Linked DNA regions of Oryzias latipes. Each later gene encodes a partner of the first gene's protein in a complex. Links are inferred from orthologs where the notes say so. Each region holds a gene or a part of one and is shown on either strand. Other genes may lie near its edges.

Evidence for each region.
Region 2: the proteins of cep152 (region 1) and cep63 are in contact, whole or in part, in a crystal structure (PDB 6CSU), measured with the Homo sapiens proteins. The link is inferred for Oryzias latipes from reciprocal best matches to the Homo sapiens genes CEP152 and CEP63. Residues at the interface, in NP_001181927.1 of Homo sapiens: Gly1261, Ala1262, Glu1265, Leu1266, Gln1269, Tyr1270, Lys1272, Ala1273, Lys1276, Ile1277, Asp1280, Met1281, Tyr1284, Glu1287, Ser1288, Arg1291, Ala1292, Met1295, Ala1298, Arg1302; in NP_001340037.1 of Homo sapiens: Phe666, Glu669, Glu670, Arg673, Ile677, Arg680, Leu681, His684, Glu687, Leu688, Glu691, Ser692, Thr695, Phe699.

What each region holds. Positions count from the first base shown.
Region 1 is NC_019864.2:15,114,917-15,119,966, forward strand, and holds the start of cep152 (centrosomal protein of 152 kDa), read left to right. Parts: upstream 1-1,813; 5' UTR 1,814-1,992; coding exon 1,993-2,034; exon of another isoform or gene 2,035-2,337; intron 2,338-2,529; coding exon 2,530-2,637; intron 2,638-3,039; exon of another isoform or gene 3,040-3,295; coding exon of another isoform or gene 3,296-3,430; intron 3,431-3,901; coding exon 3,902-4,011; intron 4,012-4,092; coding exon 4,093-4,141; intron 4,142-4,227; coding exon 4,228-4,515; intron 4,516-5,037; coding exon 5,038-5,050. Other genes in the region: galk2 (N-acetylgalactosamine kinase), read right to left, coding at 42-194, 281-379, 453-599, 699-792, 881-1,004, 1,136-1,236, 1,305-1,354. UniProt on the Homo sapiens protein: Necessary for centrosome duplication; the function also seems to involve CEP63, CDK5RAP2 and WDR62 through a stepwise assembled complex at the centrosome that recruits CDK2 required for centriole duplication.
Region 2 is NC_019862.2:2,686,827-2,690,779, reverse strand, and holds the start of cep63 (centrosomal protein of 63 kDa), read left to right. Parts: upstream 1-1,153; 5' UTR 1,154-1,416; intron 1,417-3,953. Other genes in the region: uncharacterized protein LOC111947333, read right to left, coding at 1-297. UniProt on the Homo sapiens protein: Required for normal spindle assembly.

The DNA of each region.
Region 1 (5,050 bases):
AAGACCAAAAATTAACTTTAGCATGCAGCTTCAAACTCCACCTTTGTGGCAATCCGGCACTCCACCACACGGATGTTGTAGTGAGAGGAGGCGGCTTTGTTCATCTCCTTGCAACAGTTGGAAATCACAAATACAGCTCCCTCTGGAAGCTTCACATCAGTGGCCCGCAGAGGGTGAAACTCTATCAGCTTTGCCTGACAATAGATGCAAAAATTAATGCACACTTTTGTTTAAGGGTTACCTTTTAAGGAAAAAAGACTGATGGAAAACAGGTACACACAGTGCCTTTTTCTGCCAGAAAAGAAATGGACTGGTCCATGCCTCCCCCCTCTGTACCGATGTAGCGCTCACATTTGGCACATATCTCAGCAAGAGCCACCTGGAGGAATAAATGCACATAAACAGAGGGCTTCGAAGTATCTTCGTATTTATCCTCTTAGTAAGGATTTTACCTTGGAAAGGGATTTCTGATTGGCTTCCATAGTTAACAGACCAGCACAACAAACCAAAGCACTTGAGCTCGATAGACCGGAACTGGGAGGAATAGATCCATCTACCACACAGGACATCCCAGCCAAACGAGGGATCCCAAACTTCTCCTGCAGGAAAAAAAACACTCACAGCAACAAAAACTGTACAAATATTTATTTTCATTCCAGGTCAATTATTTCAGACATTACATAACAAACACATCATACCTGGATACCTTTAACTCCACAGAGAAAATAATAATACCACTTTGGGTCGTCTTTGTTTATGGCGATGTCCTCTGAGCATGACACTTTATAATCTCTGCAGATGACCAAAAACACGTTTGTAATGCAAGAAATCCTAACAATCAACCATTTAGGAAGAATTAAAATGATATCTGGTCTCTTACTTATATTGAGGATTTATGTTTGCCAGTTGGATCATTCCAGAGTTGTTTACAGACACAGCTGCAAGGATGTTCTGCTCAATGGCCATCGGCAGTACAGAATAACCGCAGTAATCAATGTGTTCCCCTGGTAAATGTATTACAAGAAAATAAAGAAAGAAAAGTGTCCCAGTGAGATCAAATGACTTGTATTAATGAAAAAAACATCAATTTATTTAGTTATGATGATAACACAGAAAAATGGAGCATTTAGTTTACCTATTAGATTAACTCTTCCAGGTGCACACGTGTAGAATAGTGGGGATTCTCCATACTTGGCTTCAAATGCATTTTTCAGGTTTTTCAACCTGCAGATGACACTATATTCAAGTAAATAAGAGCCACACGGTTGCCTCTTTCCCTCAACTGTCCTCATTTGTCATCTCACCTTTGATTTGTAGCAATCGATGTCTTTATCTTGGGTGGGTTTGAGGCCATTTTTCACCTGATTTGGAATAATCTGGGTGTTTACGTGGTCCCACGACGTTAAATTGGGGAAGTGGTGAGCAGCCTGTGTCCTGTCAGCTGACTAAAATCCTGGATCTGAAACCGCTGAACTCCAGTCAGCTAAAAGCGAAAACTCTTACTCAGGAAAGCGTGATTATCACGGGAAAGACTGATGCTGGAACAGGATTCAACGCTAAACGCGGAAGTCGGGGGCGGAGCTAACGTGTTTTTGTCCCAACTGAGCCACCGTACACAGAGGAGTGTATTTATATCAATTTTTTTTAAGGTAAACACATAGTTATAGTCAATGAAAAAAAAACTTTAGTGAAAATATTTTTGACTTAAAAAAGACAAAAAAATAAAATAAGTCATTAAAAATACCATTTTTTTTTAATATTGACTGGACTACACTTCCCAAAAAATTAGTTTGTGTTACTATGGCAACTGTTCTTTTTTTGTTCCGGGTTTAGGAACCAAAGTATCTGCTTTGTTTTTTGCTACCTAAATTTCAAACGGCAAAAATGGGTAACATTAAAATTATGCGACCAACGGCAACACGAGACAGTGAAAGTTAGAGGTTGTGGGTTTTCTGCAGTACGGTGAAACTTTGCAATGGCTGGGCGCCGCTGATGCGCGGGAGTTTTCAAACTGGGCGAGTCCACAGACCGTGGGTCCGTTTAAAGAGGATGCTAATCTGTGTGCTACTTAGCCACGGTTAGCTTCGTACATTTCTTACTTTACAGTGTTGTTAAATGCTTGCAACGTTACGTTAGACGCGTTTCTATTTTTTTAAATATTATTTCGTGTAGCCATTTATGTTTCAACATGTACTTAGATAAACAGAATGCCACACGTAGTTTTAGCTAACTGGAGCCGCATCTTCAGATAGCCTTGTTTGTTGGTAGCGTTTGTTTTAACGCGTTCAAATAGGAGGATGTCCAGCTAGACAAAATACATTTTTTATCTTCAATCAGGTAATACGTTACATTGGTTAGCTTCTACCTTCACCTGTGTGAGGTGACGCTCATTGTTTTTACCAATACTAGTAGTTAACCTTTGACACTAGCACGTAGCTCAGCTGGTGACTGAAGAAAAACATAGTCTAGACTGCTGTGTTTGAAAGGCAGGATAGCCACCTTATTCCTGTTTTGCTTCTCTTTTCCCAGCCCACCAGCAAGTTTTGCAGCATGTCCATAGACTTTGACAGTGCTGCTCTCCAAACTCAGCATGATGATGAAGAATATGACCAAGAGGACTACGCAAGGGAGCAAGAGGTGACATAATAATGTGAAAGCTAACCTCATTTGTGAGATGTAAAGGGTGGATGAAAACTAGATCAACAAAAGCATCGGACTGCATCTTTAAAATCAAGGGAGCAAGAGGTGATATAAAATGATAATATGAAAGCTAACCTCATTTGTTAGATATTAAGGGTGGGTGAAAATAAGATCAACAAAAGCATCGGACTGCATCTTTAAAATCATATTCAAACTGTCATTTATTTCTCACGCCTCAATCTGTTGAGCCATGACTGTGAGCTATTATTGGCTCCAGGGAGGACCTCCTTTCAGGTGTGTCATAAGCTTAAACAAGCTCTGCTGTCTCTATTTAAGTTATTTGGCCTCTCATGCCTGACCCCACTACACGGAACAAAGCAGAAATGCTTTAGCTAAAATTGTAATGAATTTGGCAGGACTCTGCAAGTTTATTTTGAAATTTTAGCCCAATTTCAAGCAAGCCAGTGAAGTGGGAAATGTTGACCACCAGTAATCGGAATGTTTCTGCTCCAGTTAACCTTGCTATATGTTTGGTCTGAACAATGGAGTTCTTTTTGGAGCAAAACAGAGGAATAACACAGGGAGCTGACGGCATGCCAGGCAGGTTTTGAATATTTCCAGCAGAAGGTCATCTCTCCAGACACTCAGACTGCTGATGGTTGTGTTAGAGCTCGTGCAGAAGAAGAGTTGTCTCTGTAGTCAGTTTTTTAAATTTATAATTGCACAAATGGGTCCTTCTATTGTGGAAGCTGTGGATGATTTGAGGACCATTCAACAATCCTTGTGGGAAGTAAGTCCAGCAGACACTGCTTGTTTAATCGTCTCTTTTTTTCCAGCACAGAGAGAAGCTATTTTAAACAAAATCTTCTCAATAGTTGGTCTTATACAGAACTTTATTGCAAATAATGATTAACCAGTAACGGTTTCACATTGTTGAGAAGCTGTTAGTGGAGGTTGAGGCTTGTATCTCCCTTTCTTAGCTCATCAAGTATAAACAATCATAATTCAAATGTTTAAAAATACAAAATAAATCAAAATATTATTATTTTGCTGTAGTTACAGTGTAACTTCAAATGAGCTTTTATGAAAATATGAGTTTAACTGCTGCTTCAGTGTGATTGATCTTGTGCAAATATAAAAGCAGCTTCTGTGCCTGTCATTGATTACCTCCGTGTGCTTTAGTTTTTCAACCTGTGTTACTTTATAACTCTGTTGCTTGGCAACCTCAGTGACTCATATCTGTGCTGTGTTTTCTCTGCAGTTGCACCAGCTGCTCACAGACCTGCCTGATGACATGCTGGAGGACAGCGTGGACTCCTCCTCCCCTGAGCTGGAGTGCTCCACCTACAGCAATAAAAACGCAGCCAACAGGTAAATGCATGCGGTGGACACATTAGTGCCACCGATTAAAGGTAAATTGCTCTGTTGTTTGATGCATGTTTGGTTTTTCAGCCCACGGGCTCAGTGGAACCAGCAGTGGTCAGATCACACCCACACACAGGTAAGACCTCACTTTTCCCTCTTGATAGATTTTTGCTTTCACCAATTAAACAAAAGATGAAATTATCATTTTGTTACTTTTTGGAGAACTTTGAGGATGACTATGATGGAAGCTCGCATGGTGATTATGCCTATAAAGATGGAGTAGCTGATATTAATGGGCATCACAGTCAAAATCAGCCCCTGCCTCATACCTGGACTCAGGAACATCAGTTTGGACCGGAGGATTATGAATACACAAACCGATGTACAGAGAACGAGGATTTTCCCATTCACTTTGAGCCGCAGTCAGCCCCGGAAAGAACTGAAAATCACATGGAATATAATGGAGTAGAGGACTACACAGATGAGCACAACTCCAGAAACCTCTTTCAAGTAAGTGATCAACAAAGAGAGGCTGCTGAGGTGGCTTGTCAAACAGATGAGACTGAAGTCAACGGTGTGATGATTTCTGCCGAAGATAAAATATACTCAACATGTGTGAATATATTTTTACCCTTTGGAGATCTTAGTTACAGTTTGTCTGTGTTTCTGAAAACAAACAAAATAACAAGGTTTTTTTTATTTTTACCAGCAGTCAGTGGAGCTTAGTTCTATCTTTTTGAGTGAATTACAAGTAATCTCAGTTGTTAAATTATACAAAGATTTAGGAAATTATATCTACAAACATAACATAAAAAATGAAATGATGCCAAAAATGCTCATAATGTTTCAATATATAAGCTTTTCTCATATTTTTTTGTGGAAAAAATGGAGAAGAAAGTAAAATGATGCCTATTGAAAACTGAAGTTTTTATGGGTAAATGTTTTACAATATATCTTTAAATTATTTGTAATTTTCTCCCATTTTTTTTAAAATATTTTTCTGTGTTTTTTTGACAAAATTTGAAATGTGAGCAGGAGGATCAGC
Region 2 (3,953 bases), on another chromosome or scaffold:
CTCCAGCTCCTCTCCTTCCAGTTTGAGTGTGTCGTCCTCCTCTCCTGCCTCTGCGATCTGCTCCCACTGCCTGCTGTCCACCCACAGAGCTTCCTGCAGGCTGAGGCCTCGGTCAATGCAGGTGACCCTGCGGCACAGCGGGCAGGCCAGCGCCAGGTAGCTGCTCCTGACCTGCTGCATGGCCTCCAGACACAGTTCACAGAAGGTATGTCTGCAGTGAAGCACCCGGGGGATCCTGTCCATGCGGGAGTAAGGGAAGAAGCAGACGGTGCAGTCGCTGTCCTCACACAGAACCATGGTCCAGATGGACGACGGCGATGTTCCTGCTGAGAGCCACAGAGGAGCTGCAGAAGGTCCCAGACGGTCCCACGGGCCCGGCTGGGAAGAAACATGAAAAGATTGTCCTTTGGTCAAACTTTACCCAGGAATGACAGCTGTATTTATTTCTACTCTAAGGAGAAAAAATGAATTAGAGGAATTTTTGATATTTTAATTCTTGTGAATGCAACCATTTCACATCAAGATAAGAAAACTCATTATTTTCTTGGATAATAACATGTCCTTTTAATAGTAAAAAGTTACAGTATAAAAAGAAGTTTACCACTGACAGAAGAAGAGGAGTCATGTTCAAATAAATCAAATGTTATACTTACTTGAGTGAAATGCTTCTAGTTCTCGTTCAGATCAGGTTTTTCCAAGTGGCTCAGTCTGCCTGCAGTCAAGAACTGTAAATGAACTGTCGCGTCTGCCGCCTGTTGAGAGTCCGCCGCGGCTGGGGGCGGAACAGAGACGTCTGTCACCGCCCAGGACTCGCCCAACAACAGCTGGGGAAGCTGAGCCAAGCCTCCGTCTTTGTTCCTGTGTTTGCTGTTAGGCCGGTGGAGGGCTGGTCGAAGGAGATGACTAACTTAGAAATGGTAAAAAGTTAAAAAAATAAATAAATAAATAAAATAAAAAATATCCACTCCAACCACTTGGATAAAAATGTTTTTCTTAGTGGAAAATAAAAAGCTTTGGGCAGTGGACAATAAAAACCTTTGGGCTCGTCCGGGATTTGAACCCGGGACCTCTCGCACCCAAAGCGAGAATCATACCCCTAGACCAACGAGCCACGCTTACACTTAGTCAAAATATGTAAATATAATCTGTATTGAGATGAAAATGGAGGGTGTGTCCGAATTCGGGGGCTGCGTCTTTCAGTGGCCGCGGCCTTCACGGTCGACGTTGGCCGGGTCATTCGTCGCGCGGGTTGTCTGGATGTTAACGGCTGTGAATTTGGACGAGTCTTAGCCGTAGATCATTCCAGCCGCGTCGGCGAATGTCCTGTCGCGTAGTAAGTAACGTGTCGCGTGACTGACTCAGAGAGGAGTAGTGATCCAGGCATGGAGTCCTTATAGTCCGGCTGAGACACAACAGGTACTGTACGGAGCCCGTGACCTGACATGGGTAAAAAAAAAAAATGTTCCCACGAAATAATAATTCATCTGATAAGTCATTCTTGGATTTACAGCAGATACTTTCACATTTCTGTCTGTGTATATTTCATTACAATGCATTGAAGACACGGAGGATGTTTAGAGGTCTGTGTGCACTTTTTTGGCATTTTCAACATGCTTATGCTAATTTAACAGACTATTTTCATTCATCTTTGTTGTTTTATGTTGAAACGGGACATTTCGTTTAAACATTGGTGTTCTGCGCATGACAGGTTCATGACGTAAGGTGACAAATGGACTTCTGGGTTTGTGATTGAAAAGGAAAATAAAGTAGCGGTCCTCTACACCCAAACGAGTCTCTGAGCTCCTTAGTTAACTCCGCTTTACCGACACCGAACCCTGGAAGGCTGGCTACACTAACAAAAATGTGATTTTAAGTCGTCAAAAGGCTCAAAATTTGTTTGTTTTTGAAACTTATCTGGAAATAAAGCTTCACAAAAGTCTCCACATATTTCGTCTTCAAGCTAGGCTCCGATAAACAGAAAACTTATGTGTTTTTACTTGTTTTTTACTATGACTTTTTCTTGTAGATTTACGAGAAAAAAACTCAAAAATTTACGAGATTTTAAGTTGTGAATTTATGAGATAAAACTCATAAATTAACGAGATAAAATCTCATAACGTCTTAAAATCTCGTAATTTAACAGTTATGACTTTCTTTCTCTGAAATTTACGAATTAAAAATCGTAATTTTAATTTTTTTTTTTTGTAAACTGAAAACTCCATCGTATTTATGAATCCACTGTGTTCTGAAGATAAAAACTTTGATGGTTTGTTTAAAATATACTTTATTTGGGGTAAAAATTGCTTTGACGCAATGCATTGTGGTCTATGGTACCGATTTACGTAGTGAGCACACTGGTTTTTGACAGAGCCTATGTCCGAAATCCCACCCTAACCGTTATATAGTGCATCTTACCATTTTGAAGTGCTGTCTGAACCTACAATTCCCAAATTGAGTGCCCCGCAGAAATTTCCCAGATGTCTCTGCGAAAAACCGGTGTGCCTCGACGCTCATTAGATCGGGAAATATAGACAACAATGCATTGCGTCTGTAATTTTTGCAGAAAAATGTATTTAAATGTTTTTAAAATGTTTTGTGTTTATCTTCAGAAGACAGTGGACTTATAAATAATCATCACAAAGTCACACCCCACCCCTCCCCTTTCGTTCTCACTCATGCAGCCCCGTGTGACACGAGATAGGAGCAGCTGCAGGGACGGGAATTCAAAGGTTTCAGGCTGTTACAAACTCTGTGATATAACAGACAACAGGAACCGAATAGTGGACCAGATATTTTTCCAAGCACTGAGCCGCTGTCACCACCGCCCCCATGTTAAATTTGCGCACCGGACGATTGCCCGTATTACCTGTGCATAAACCACCATCACCGCGCGCCCCCCCCTGACATCGCTTCGCGCCGCCTAGCCCCACTATTTGAGAAGAACTGGTCTAGTGGGTCTAGATGACCCAACTCCCAATGTTAAAGTGCCTAGGATAGCACGGTGTCTGAATAGCTTTTAAAATTCAAGGCATTATATAATGCTGCACTGTATAGTTTTTTTTAAAAGTTAGGGGTTAGGGCGGTAACAGGCTCCGTATGTATTCAATCTCTCAAAAAATAAAACAAAATTCTACAAGATGAAGTTCTCAAGAATTACACAATAGCTTTAGCTAGTTTAACGGACATATTTTATAACTTCCTTACAGGTTGTAAAATATATAATAACTGTAGTAACTTTGTGGGTTTGTAGAGTACCCCAAAATGGTTAATAAAAATACTTTTTTTTGTTTATTTACTTCTCATAAGTTTTTATACTAAATATAACTGTGTACAAGTACCTACCCTCTTTTGAGAATGTAAAAAAATTGTTATATAATAACTATAAACTATTTTTAAATTGTTTTATTAATCAGACTACATTAGTGTTAAATGTTAATTTTATCATGTGACTTATTTTTTGCAGAAATTAATTTTAACAATGTTTACCATACTCTTATTTGAATTCAGTAAAAGTTGAATTTAAGTATTTTGTTCTTATCATATCCAAGTAAAATCATCTTTTTAAGCCTCATAGAAACTTAAAACCAAATCTTTATAATAAAAAAGGATTTCTTGTGTATTTCTCTTTGACCAGACTAGATGTCTGTACTGCAGAATCAACTTATGGATAATCTTTGGTCACGCAGCATCCATCGACACCAAGCTCTGCAAACCCTGCTGATCTACAGTGAAGGCGCATCCCGAAACTCTCTTAGCAGATCAACAGACCAGATTAGTTTTAACCCTTTTGCTATCCTGGGAGTTGGGTCATCTAGACCCACTAGAGAGTGCTCTGAACCTTTTTTCTTGAATGATTTGTGATCTTCAGTGGTGTCCATGGATTACATGAAATCTTTCCACCTTTGTCATGGTAGGGAGAACACGTCAAAGTAAGGGTGTAGTCATCATTTTGT